Linked DNA regions of Caenorhabditis elegans. The protein of the gene in region 1 purifies or fractionates together with the protein of each later gene. This does not show direct contact. Each region holds a gene or a part of one and is shown in the gene's direction. Other genes may lie near its edges.

Region 1 (5,003 bases):
TTTTATAAGTGAAGCTGGTATCATTTCGATGCATCAGTTTGCAAGTACATACCCATTGCTATGTACATAATAAGATTTACTGGTTACTGACTTGACAGTCATGTCTTCTTTTTGTCGTCGCTTTCTTCTAAGCGCGAATAACAACTCCCTTTGTGTCTACATGTTTGTTTTATTAAATTAATACGAATTTTATTATTGGAAGAAAACTACTCCCCACATAATTTTTACATCTAATAAAATTTTAAAATAATCTTTAACTACCCAATAAAACACCAACAGAAATTTTATTACGACAGTTTTCTTCCAGACTTGTCTTAATTTAGACTAACAAAAAGTTTTCAGAGTTTTGTTTTGAAGTCCGATAACTTTTAGTTACTTTGAGAATAGATTCTTCAATCTTTGCTCATATATTTCAGAAATAATACCCTGATGGTAACCAAGTGATCACATTGACCGGACACTACGATTTCGAAACAAAGCATGATAAGCAGCTAGCTTTCTTGTCTTCTTGTATAACCTGATATATTCATTTCTCGAATCATTCTTCTCTTTTTTCTTCTATTGTTAACCTTTTGTCTACGTCTCATCATCTCTACATATTTTCATTGTTCTCTATTGGATCTCTTTCTAAAAAGTGTCCAAAAAAACTGACTTGGCGGTCACTTTTTGGCGCAAGTACCTGTTTGGTCTCAGTTGTTGTGAAAGTACTTTACAAAATCATTTCAAAATTAAAATTGATCTTCACTTATGCGAGTTTACCTTAAAACTTTTGGAATCATTTCTAAATACACTAGAAAATTTGTTGTGAACATGCAAAAAACCATGAAAAAGGAGGAGTCTATTTGGACGTTTACCTAACTATAAGTTCCGTCATTTTTTATTTTCTTATCAGTGCTCGTTGCTTTTAAGAACTTATATAAAGGTAATACCGTTGAAAAACATCTGCACAATCTTCTCGATTATGTAATTTTCTAAAAAATAAACACCGTTCATATCTTGGTCTTTTCATGTTTTGAAATGTTTTTTGATCTAAGTTTATTTATTTAATTGTTTTAAGATGGATTTAAAATTGACAAATTACATTTCCGGCATTATTCTGCTTCAAACTGTCTTCCACAACAAAAATTACAAAAATTTCATTAACGAAGTTTCATAATTTTTCTCAGAGAATGTTTCTTCTGAAAAGAGCATGCTTACTTTCTTTCAACTTACTTTCAAGGTTCAGTGATCATGCCAATTAATTCAATTTAATTAATTTAAACGATCACTTCAATTAGCTATCCATTATCTTTTTCTTATCTTCCGCACTTTTAACAGAAAAAGTCTAAAAGAAGTCTCTCTCTATCTCACCTGTTTCTCATCAGTTGTTGTTTCATTCAATGTCCATTCCACGGGGAAAACATTAAGTTCTTGTGGTTTTCAAGGTTAGATATTTTTGCTTGAGGATTGTCAAGCTATTTACTCGATAATATGGAATTTTACGTTTTGTATTTAGCCGTTCAGTTATGACCTTTGAAAAGACGGTCTACCTAATGCCAAATAATATTTAGAACTATTAAAAGTGGAGTGCAGGCTTGAACCCCTAGAATGTCTAAATACAAATAATTACAACACAACACAATAGTAGGGGACATATGTTTTTAACCCCATTTTCAGTATTAATTATGCCTCGCCATTTTTTAAACACAAGATTTTCAAAAAAAAAATTAAAATTATTTGGTCATTATGAATGCTTTCAATAATTTCTCCCACTGGCGACACTCCGCCTATTAGAGTGAAATTCGCTAATACTTTTTCCAATCACTGTTTGCAATTCTCCATCGAATTCTTGAAAATCGTCACGGTCTAAAAATGAAGTTTTTTCTATTCAATTCTCCCTTATTCGTGTCACTGTATTCGTTCAACTTTTGTTCAAAAAACGAACACATTTCATTTAAAGATGGCAGTTGTTGCGTCGACATCAGATGATTTCTATGCAAACTACGCATTCGAATCGGCAGATCGAAAAGATGAAAACTCAATTCGGGTAAGTGAATCTTTGAAGAAAGGTCTCATGAATTGAGGGATAAGAAATATAATTATAGGTACCTCGAAGTACAGAAGACAACCGTAGGCTCAAGTATGGACATGCAGAAGATGATAATTCAGATATTGCGTATTTGAATTTTCCAGTTATTGTACCATCACTTGTATTTACAGTTATCTCAATGGGATGTTTTGTGGGTAAGATATTATAAATAAGAATCTCTGAGAAATTTCGTTTAGAACTTTAGGTTATACCTAACAAAAGAAACTAAATCTACGAAAAATGCGAAGCAAACAATAGCTTGGGTTACTGTACCCCTTATAGGCACACACTCTTTTCGCAGGCTTAAATGAAAAGGTTTTGATCGTATCGAAACCGAATAACGTACTTTTGCAGTTTAACCATGGGAATAATTGCACAGAGAATTTGCAAAACTACAATATAAATCTTTAAAATCTTCGAGTTTTGTTGAAATATTTACATGCAACAACTTTTTGAAAAAGAAACAAAAAGACAAAATGCTAGCTGTTTATTTTCAGGAGGAATTTTCACATCCCTAAAATCCGACTACATCCCTGATGAACGAGAATTAATACGAGGATACGTTATAGAATATGGCAGCAGTCGTTTTCGATGTAACGTGAGTCTCCCCTTTCCCCCTACTTTGACTCTCACCCCTTCAACACCCGTGACAAGTGTACGCTCTCGACCGCTGTTACTCTCGAAGCACGGATGGCCGAGTGGTCTAAGGCGCCAGACTCAAGCGTACATTGCTTGCCTCAAGTTCGAGGTTAACTGGGTGTTCTGGTACTCGTATGGGTGCGTGGGTTCGAATCCCACTTCGTGCAGATATTTTTGAAAATTTTCAATTAATTGTTTTCAGACAACAATTCCATTTCCAGCAGATGGGCTTCCATCAATTCTTAATCTTTTTGAATTGAACGTGATAGGAAATGTCCTTTTCCGATATGCAGTCTGTATACCAATAGTAATTAGAGTATTCAATGCACTTACAATAAGGTAATTGGAAAATTAAAGTATTTTTCAAACTCAACGCCTTTTTCAGAAATCTTCTCCGTCATGAGTACGACAAAAAGTTCTCATCATTACATAAGGTTATGGCGGATTCAATGCCAATTTTCACTTTTGTTGAAGCTTTCATGATGTCCCTATTCAGTATTGTTACTGTACATGAGGATTTTCCAGGTAAAATCTGATGCTAAAAAATCCATTTTGTAGTAAATGTTCTATCAGAATAACGATGTTTTTTAAAGGAAATAAAACTTTTTTGAATCGAGAAAAATTAGCAAATAATGGTACTGTATTTGAAAAGTTCCACTCGTTACAGGACCCTTAACCTAAATATCGTTTAATTTCAGAAGCGAATCGTTTCTTTAAAATTGTATTTGCAATGTCATCCGTTGTTAGTATGCTGACCACCACTACGGTTATGTTTGCATTTTCGTCGAATTCTGAAAGTGTGAGTTTTTGATTACAAGACAATTTTCATTTTTATTTGGCATTTGGAAGTCAGAAATCTGATTCAAAAATTTAAAAGGATTACAAAAGGAAAGCTAAATTTTGACGTTTTAATTTGAAATTCACATTTTATCATCCACAAAAACAAAAATAAAGGTCTCACCACGAAATTTTTTCGCATCGTATCCGTACAAAAGTTATGCGTCTCTAAGTACTACAGTAATAAATACACTTTATGACGTCACAAATGTATTAAATTACATGTTTTGGTGGCTTGAATAAAATCTCCAATCTACACTACACTATATACTAAATACACTAATAATCTACACTTTTTTAAACTTTCGAACACTACTAAAATAACCCCATAAAAATTAATATTAATTCAAACTTTCAAATTAAATTTTTCAGAAATGGGATACTGTATCAATGATCATGAAATTAATATCAGTTGTTATTTATGTATATTTAATGCCACAATATATGCAATATCATCAATCTTCTATCACATTTCCAATTTGTCATTCATATAGTAAGTTTTCTTTCTGTCTTATTTTTAATTGAATCAAATTAATTTCAGTGCCCCAACTGTTCGCTTTAATGGAATATTTCATTATTATTGCATATGCAACGTTTCATCTGTCATTCCTAATCGATATTAGAAACATTTCATTCATTTGTTTCCCACGATCGTCCAGTGGAGAGTGTGAACCGATTGATCCAATTAATTTCAAAAAAGGAGCAAAATATGAACACTGCAGAGCTTTTGAATATAATCAACGAAGGATTCTTAGCTTGTAGATTGATGAATTAGTTACAATTATGTTTATTTAATTTTGAATACAGTTTTTTGTTGAATGAGAAAAAAAGAAACAAAAGAATCACCGATTAAACAACCAAATATTTAAAAATAATTTCACAAAAAGCAATTGAAACAGTCAAGACAAAAAAGAATTGAATGAAATCACGCAAACACATATGATATTCAAGAGAAGGAGAGACAGTTGGAGAAACAAGAAAATTGATACTCGTAACTATTTACACGTGCCACTCAACCCAATTGAGAATGGAACACAAATAATACGGTACTTTGTACGCTACAGTAACCCTAGTTTAATGTAAATTATTGAAGGGTATTTGTTAAAAAGGGAAAGCATTGAAGGGAGGAATTTAAATGGATTAAGTGAAAGAAAGAGATTAAGTAAAGAAATAGGAGCAATGAAATGGTATAAGGAAATTTGAATATTGAGGTAGGAAACATCTATTCATCATCCGATAAGTCTTCATAAACAAGATTTTTGCATGGTGGACCGTAATCTTTGATTGGTTGAATCCCGTTTTGAGCTTGAACAACTAAGGGATATTTGACTGGAATCTTCTTGGTAACTGCCACGTGACCGGTTGCCCGTAAATCGATAACTGATCGGAAAGCTGTTTTATCTGGAAAAATTATGATATTTTTTTTGACAAAATTCGTGGGAATAAAAGCTTACCGCCT
Region 2 (6,231 bases), on another chromosome or scaffold:
ACAGGTGCTCAGAAAAAAGGAAAATCCTCTCCCGCGCATTTATGTCTTTAATTTCAGCTTCGTGAATTTCTAACCGTCTACAACACTCTCAGCGAACGTTGTTTCAACGCCTGCGCTCGTGACTACACCACATCAACACTCACAAAGGACGAAGGGTCCTGTGTCAGTCAATGTAAGATTTATTGTATTGTATAAACACGATTTTGTAATCAAAATTTCAGGTATTGACAAGCAGATGCTAGTGAACCGTCGGTTTATGCTAGTATTCGCAGAACAAGCACCAAAAGCACTTTTCAAGCAAGGAGAGCAATCGCCAACCGAAGCAATCAAATCCGCTAAGCCAGAGCCAGCGGTCCCAGCTCCAGAAGCCACTCCTGTTGAAACTACTCCAGTTATTGAAGAAAATAAGTGAGATTTTCCATAATTTCTTTTAAAAAATCACGAATAATCTTTTGCAGACAATGAACATCATCTCTGAACATGGTTTCCGTATTGACGGCCGCCGTCCCGCTCAGATTCGTAACATTAACACTCGTCTTGGCTTGAACAGAAATGCGGAGGGAAGCTGTTATCTGGAACATGGTAATACCAAGGTTGGTTTTTTTTTAAGTTTTGAATTTAATTTCAAGTTACATTATTCTCTTTTCAGGTTCTTTGTGCAGTTTATGGTCCGTATGAAGGCAAATCGTCAAAAAGAATCGAAGATAAATGTGCCATTGTTTGTCAGTATAGTGCAACAAAGTTTTCGGGACTTGAAAGAAAAAATCGTACACGTGGAGATCGAAAATCAACTGAAATCAGCAGACTTCTTGAGAAAGCATTCGAATCAGTTATTCTGACGGAAGCATTTCCTCGATCACAACTTGATATTTTCTGTGAAGTAATCCAAGGAGACGGCTCCAACCTGGCCGCCTGTGTCAATGCAACTTCTTTGGCTCTTGCTGATGCAGGAATCCCAATGAAAGGCATCGCATCTGCAGCGACGTGTGGTGTTGTCGATGGAAAACCAATTGTTGATCTTACTTCTAGAGAAGAAACTGATCTCCTTCCCAGAGTTACTGTATGTTTAGGCTGAAAAATTGTCTAATTTAATGAATTTTGTAATGAGACTTCTCAAAAATTGCCGTAATTTCAATATTCCGGGAACCGAAATCATATTTTGGTTGCTATTCTAAAAAAAAAAATGTCCAAAATTTTAAGTTATTTTCCGAAAAATCGGGAAAAAACACAAACTTTCGATTTTTCGTTAAAAAATAATTGCTTAAAATTTTCAGCTCGCCACAATCTGCGGTCGTGACGAAGTGATTCTCGTGGAACTTCAAAATCGTCTTCACATTGATCATCTTTCCACAGTCATGGATGCAGCGAAAGCCACGTGTGCTGACGTGTACGAATGTCTCGCAGTAGTTGCTCAGCAACATCTGAAAGCTTGTGCTCCGATTCTAGGCAATTAGCTGTTCTTTTTTTCTTATTCATTGTTGTTTTGAGTTGTTATTCCTTTTTTTTTAAACCCATTTTTTGCAGTCGATAAATCAGTTTTTTCAAATTTAATCTTAGAAATTTTGTAAAATTTTATATGTTTCCGTCTCATTTTCGTACTTTTCTTGTTCAAATCTTGATATTTTTTTAAAAAAATTGCAAATATCTAGAATGTGGAGCCGTGGATTACCCACGCTTTGCAGGACGATTCCGTGTCGTCAGTTTTCCGTCGCAGCTCAAAGTGGAGCTGGTCCTGCAGAAATTGATGGTAGGTGCAGATTTTTTTTGCTCTAAATGGCCAGAATTTTATTAAAATTGTCAAAAAAATTTCAAAAAATAGCTAATTTCCGCTAGAATCTCCAACTTGACCAACTTTAGAGCGGCCGGAAAATAATTTTAATTCGATTATTGTGCTACTTTGGTTTATTTTACGTTATTTCGTAAATTTAGGGTAATTTTAAGCAAATTTGGCTTTAAATGTACCAATTTTTACGAAAAAACATGTGATAAATGACCAAAATAAGACAAAAATTTAATAAAAGGGAAATTTGGCAAAATATTTGAAAAATTTTGCGAAATGTGAGATTTTAGCTAAAATCAAGTGTTTTTCGACATTTTTGAAGTTTCGCAATAAGCTTTTCGGGTTATTTTTAGTAAAAAAAAGTAGAATAATGCAAAAAACATCAAAAAATATTTGAATTCCAGATTTCCTCCATTCCATCGCCGCTGCTCCAACACAGAAGCTCGTGAAAAACAGAACTGTATTAGAAACTTCGACGGAATTTTTCAAGGTACTCAATAAGCTTAAGCTCCATTTAAATTGTTCAATTATTTAAGTGGCTCGAACAAAATCCCATAAAATCGATTGATCAATTCATCACAGCTGCACAAATGGCTATCACTGTGAAATCAACGGAACAAAATAAGGCGTTTTCGAAAATTGATGATATTGCGAAGAAAGTTCTGCCGAAATTCTATGAAAATTTTGGACCGAAGGAGACAGTGGATGCATTGCGATTTGTTTTGCAGCTGAATTCAAAGGGAAAAGTCTCGACGGATATTCAGAATTTGTTCCTTGAAAAAAGTATGATTTATCCAACAAAACTACTTATTTGAATATGATAATTCTACTTTTTTGATCTAAAATTGATTTTAAAAAATGTAGAAAAAGATTCGCTCCATCTGAAAATAATTTTTAGTTTTGTTGAAAATGAAAAATTGGAAATTTTGTTAGTTTTTTGATAATATAATGTTTAATTGACTTAAAAACACATTTTCATTTAAAAAAAATTCGGCAAAAATCGACGAAAATTAAGGAAACTCGTTGAAAACAGAAATCAGCATCTGATAAAGATTAAAATTCTCGTAAATCGACACATGGCTCGTCTCTGGCGCGAAAATTCGGCGTTTGAAAAATCTCATTTGGACGCAAGTGAAAGGAGAAAATTTGGAGTGATTCAAAAATATTTTTCTCAGATTTCGGTGCTCAACCTAAAGGTAGAGGTGAGGCCTAGTGGCCTTATTTAAATTTTTCAACAAAAAAAATTATTAATAATATTTTATCAGATGGAACGAATCCTTTTCATCAATTTTAGAAAAAAAAAAGTTGATTTTCAGTAGTATTGTGCGTTTTCCTAAACATTTTCCGAAAGATATTTCAAATAAAACGTAAAATTTCAGAAATAAGTCAATCCGATCTACAAACTGTTCCATTTGACACACTTGTGATGATCATTCGATATTCAAAATCTTCAATCGATCAAAATGTTATCGAATCTATTGCGACTTCATTGATTTCTAGAATCGAAAAGTAATTAAATAATTTAGATTTAAAAGCTCTATTTAATATCTAATTTTCCAGAGAACTGGCAAATCCTGCAGATCTCCTAGCAATTCTCGCCGGTGATGGATACGAAAAATCAAAATGGTTTCACAACGAAGCGTTCCTCAAAAAAGCCGAACGACTTGTAGCAGTAATGGGAATGGCTGAAAAATGTGCTCTTTTGAAGCATATGGCAGTGAATAAGCAAAGAAATCGACAGCTACTTGGAGCAATAATCAACGCGATTTCCAGTTCCAGTCAAGTTCTTACAGTATCACAAATTGTCAGTGTCACCGGCTCATGTTCTGCTCTCACCTATTATCCACCAAAAATTGCACGGAAAATCTCCAACGACCTCGAGAAAAATTCGAATGTTCTTGCTCAATGGGATGATGTGCTCAGCATTGCCGATTCATTTATTCGTATGAGAATGGGTGATCAAAAGTCATGGAATCTTCTTGTTCGATGGGCAATTGAAAATGTGAAGCAAGCACATCCGGCTCGATTGAGCAAATTTGTCTCCGGGCTCGCTAGAATTGGAGAACCATCTGGAAAACCGTTGGCAAAAGCGCTCAAACCATTTTTGGTGAAGGAAAAAGCTTCGACGCCCAACAATTGGCTGAATATCGTCTTTTCTCTTGCATATTTTCAAGAACTTGAAGCAGTTCATGCGGATTCGGTGCTCAATAAGAGTTTTGTAGATCAAATCATGAATTCAACAATGTAAGAAATTATTTGGAAATTGAAGAGGTGCAAACGCGCTCCAAATTAAAACACTCCGCAACTAAACGTTGGGTCTCGTTAGGTTTTCGGTTTTCCGATTTTTCCGAAAATTCAAAAATCAAAAATTTAGTTTTGCGACATTCCTAAACAAATTCGATTTTTTCGAAAATTGCTTAAAAATTTAGGATTTTTTTTTGAAGACAATGATTTTGATTTTTTTTCAAAATGAGCAAACAAATAAATTTTTATTATTAATTTTCGAAACATTTTCTAAAGATTTTTCGAAAACTCCGGAAAATCGATATGAATTTTATCTCAATTTCGACATTAAAATTATTAGAAAAAAAGTTTTTAAAAATTTTTTAAGTTAAAAGAAAAATATTTTTAAAAATCACAATATAAATTTAAAATGCTGGGAAACACGAAAAAAATGCCAATTTTTTTTTGCTTTTTCGGTTTTTGCTAGGGAAAACTAAAAATAGTCGATTTTGCAGAAACTCGAAAAAAATGCTGAAAATTTACCAAAAAATTCAAATTTTGTTTATGATGATGAAAAAACAACATATAATTTTTCCAAAAAAAGGCCAAAATGTGGTTTTTTTTCTCCAATTTTAGTTTTAAAAGTTGAAAAACTGACTTCCTTATTGTCAATACCTAACGAGACCCAAGGTTTAAGGGCGGAGTGTTTTCAAAAGGCATTTTTCTGCATCCCCATTTATAATATCAAAAATTGTCAATAATTTCCCAATTTTTCAGGGAAATTCACGATCGACTCCGAAAAGCGATGACTCTTCTAATGATCAGTTCAGCGGCTAAAGTTGATATGCAGGGAAAATACGAAGGACCAACAGTGAATAAGGAAACATTTGCTCGATTTGGAATCAATTTCGACGCGAAAACGATTCGGAACGCGAGGCAACTGAAATATTCGAGCAATCATTCAGAATGCGATCGATATTTTTTAAAGTCATTATTCAAACTTGCTCCACAAGATACTCATTGTCAACTTCCGAATGTTGAAGATTGTGGAGCTTTTGTCGATGCCTATGTTATGCCAGATCCGGTATATTATTTTCAATTAAAAAATATTTTTGAAAAAAAATGTTTTTTTTTTCAGAATTCCAACTTGCTAGTGAACACATCACAATGGGGCTCGAAAAAACCCAGGCCTCTATTTTTCTACGGATGGTTGCAAACTAAACAGGTAAGCATTTTCGAATCTCATAAAATCATATAAAATTCTAAATTTCAGAACACAGAAACGAGCGGCGAAATCAATACAGTTGGGCAAGAACAATTGGGACTTCGACTGATGCGTTCCGCTGGCTTCGATCCAGTAGTCGTCTTCAAAACGGAACTCGACTATTGCTCCACAGAAATTGATCAAGTGAATCTGCTACGGGATAAAATACATAAGAAGAATTAATTTTTTTGATAAAAGATTATATTTCTAGCGCCCCTAGTCTTTATTGTTTTGTTGTTATTCATTTTTATTCAATATTTTTTAGATTTGAGATTATAATAAAACAAATTTATAAAGGTTTCGATGAAATTTTAGAATTTTCTGTGAACTGTCTTTTGAACAGAATATGAATATTTTTGCGGGAATTTATTGTTTATTGATCAAATTTTATTTGTCTTTCCTGTTGGTTTTTTCTTCTATTTTTTCTTTTCTCTTGGGTGGCAATTTTCAGGTTTCAATTACAAATTTAAATAGTCTTATATTTAAGATCTTATCACGTGGTGTCAGAGTGTCTCATTTCGGTTTGATCTACATTGATCTACAAAAAATGCGGGAAAAGAGACGCAGAGTTCTCAACTTATTTTGGATGGTTAAGAACGTGCTGACGTCACTTTTTTTTCTGGCAAAAAATTCCCGCATTTTTTGTAGATCAAACCGTGATGGGACAGCCTGGCGTGATTATACGTGATTATATTTATACTTTTTTTTGTGACAATTTGATCTTGACCTCTGGAGGTCTCTACAAACGGTTTTGTCCACTTTCTAAAAGAAAAAACCGGGGAAAAACTAAAATTAAAAATTCACGCGCGTGACCCAATTTCGAGTGACATTCCGGCCCTGATCATTTCTTCTCTGATCATCTTTCTAAAATTCATTAAATTCATTAGTTTCTACATTTTAGTTCCTGAAAACTTGCTTCATTTCTTTTTCCAATCAACCAATAGGTCTCTTTTTTTTTAATTTT

What was found.
Region 2: the proteins of C14B9.3 (region 1) and fask-1 fractionate together in Caenorhabditis elegans (co-fractionation; one large-scale study listed by BioGRID). This does not show direct contact.

The regions. Positions count from the first base shown.
Region 1 is NC_003281.10:8,106,851-8,111,853, forward strand, and holds C14B9.3 (uncharacterized protein), read left to right. Parts: upstream 1-1,939; coding exon 1,940-2,026; intron 2,027-2,084; coding exon 2,085-2,223; intron 2,224-2,565; coding exon 2,566-2,666; intron 2,667-2,741; exon of another isoform or gene 2,742-2,884; intron 2,885-2,909; coding exon 2,910-3,046; intron 3,047-3,092; coding exon 3,093-3,232; intron 3,233-3,405; coding exon 3,406-3,506; intron 3,507-3,916; coding exon 3,917-4,037; intron 4,038-4,085; coding exon 4,086-4,306; 3' UTR 4,307-4,363; downstream 4,364-5,003. Other genes in the region: gei-8 (Nuclear receptor corepressor 1), read right to left, coding at 4,767-4,945, 4,999-5,003.
Region 2 is NC_003282.8:13,099,066-13,105,296, forward strand, and holds fask-1 (RAP domain-containing protein), read left to right. Parts: upstream 1-1,649; 5' UTR 1,650-1,650; coding exon 1,651-1,747; intron 1,748-2,184; coding exon 2,185-2,270; intron 2,271-2,316; coding exon 2,317-2,563; intron 2,564-3,159; coding exon 3,160-3,289; intron 3,290-3,340; coding exon 3,341-4,024; intron 4,025-4,780; coding exon 4,781-5,087; intron 5,088-5,141; coding exon 5,142-5,228; intron 5,229-5,276; coding exon 5,277-5,450; 3' UTR 5,451-5,562; downstream 5,563-6,231. Other genes in the region: tin-9.2 (Mitochondrial import inner membrane translocase subunit Tim10B), read left to right, coding at 1-4, 58-172, 222-408, 459-465; exos-4.1 (Putative exosome complex component RRP41), read left to right, coding at 462-593, 650-1,060, 1,275-1,454.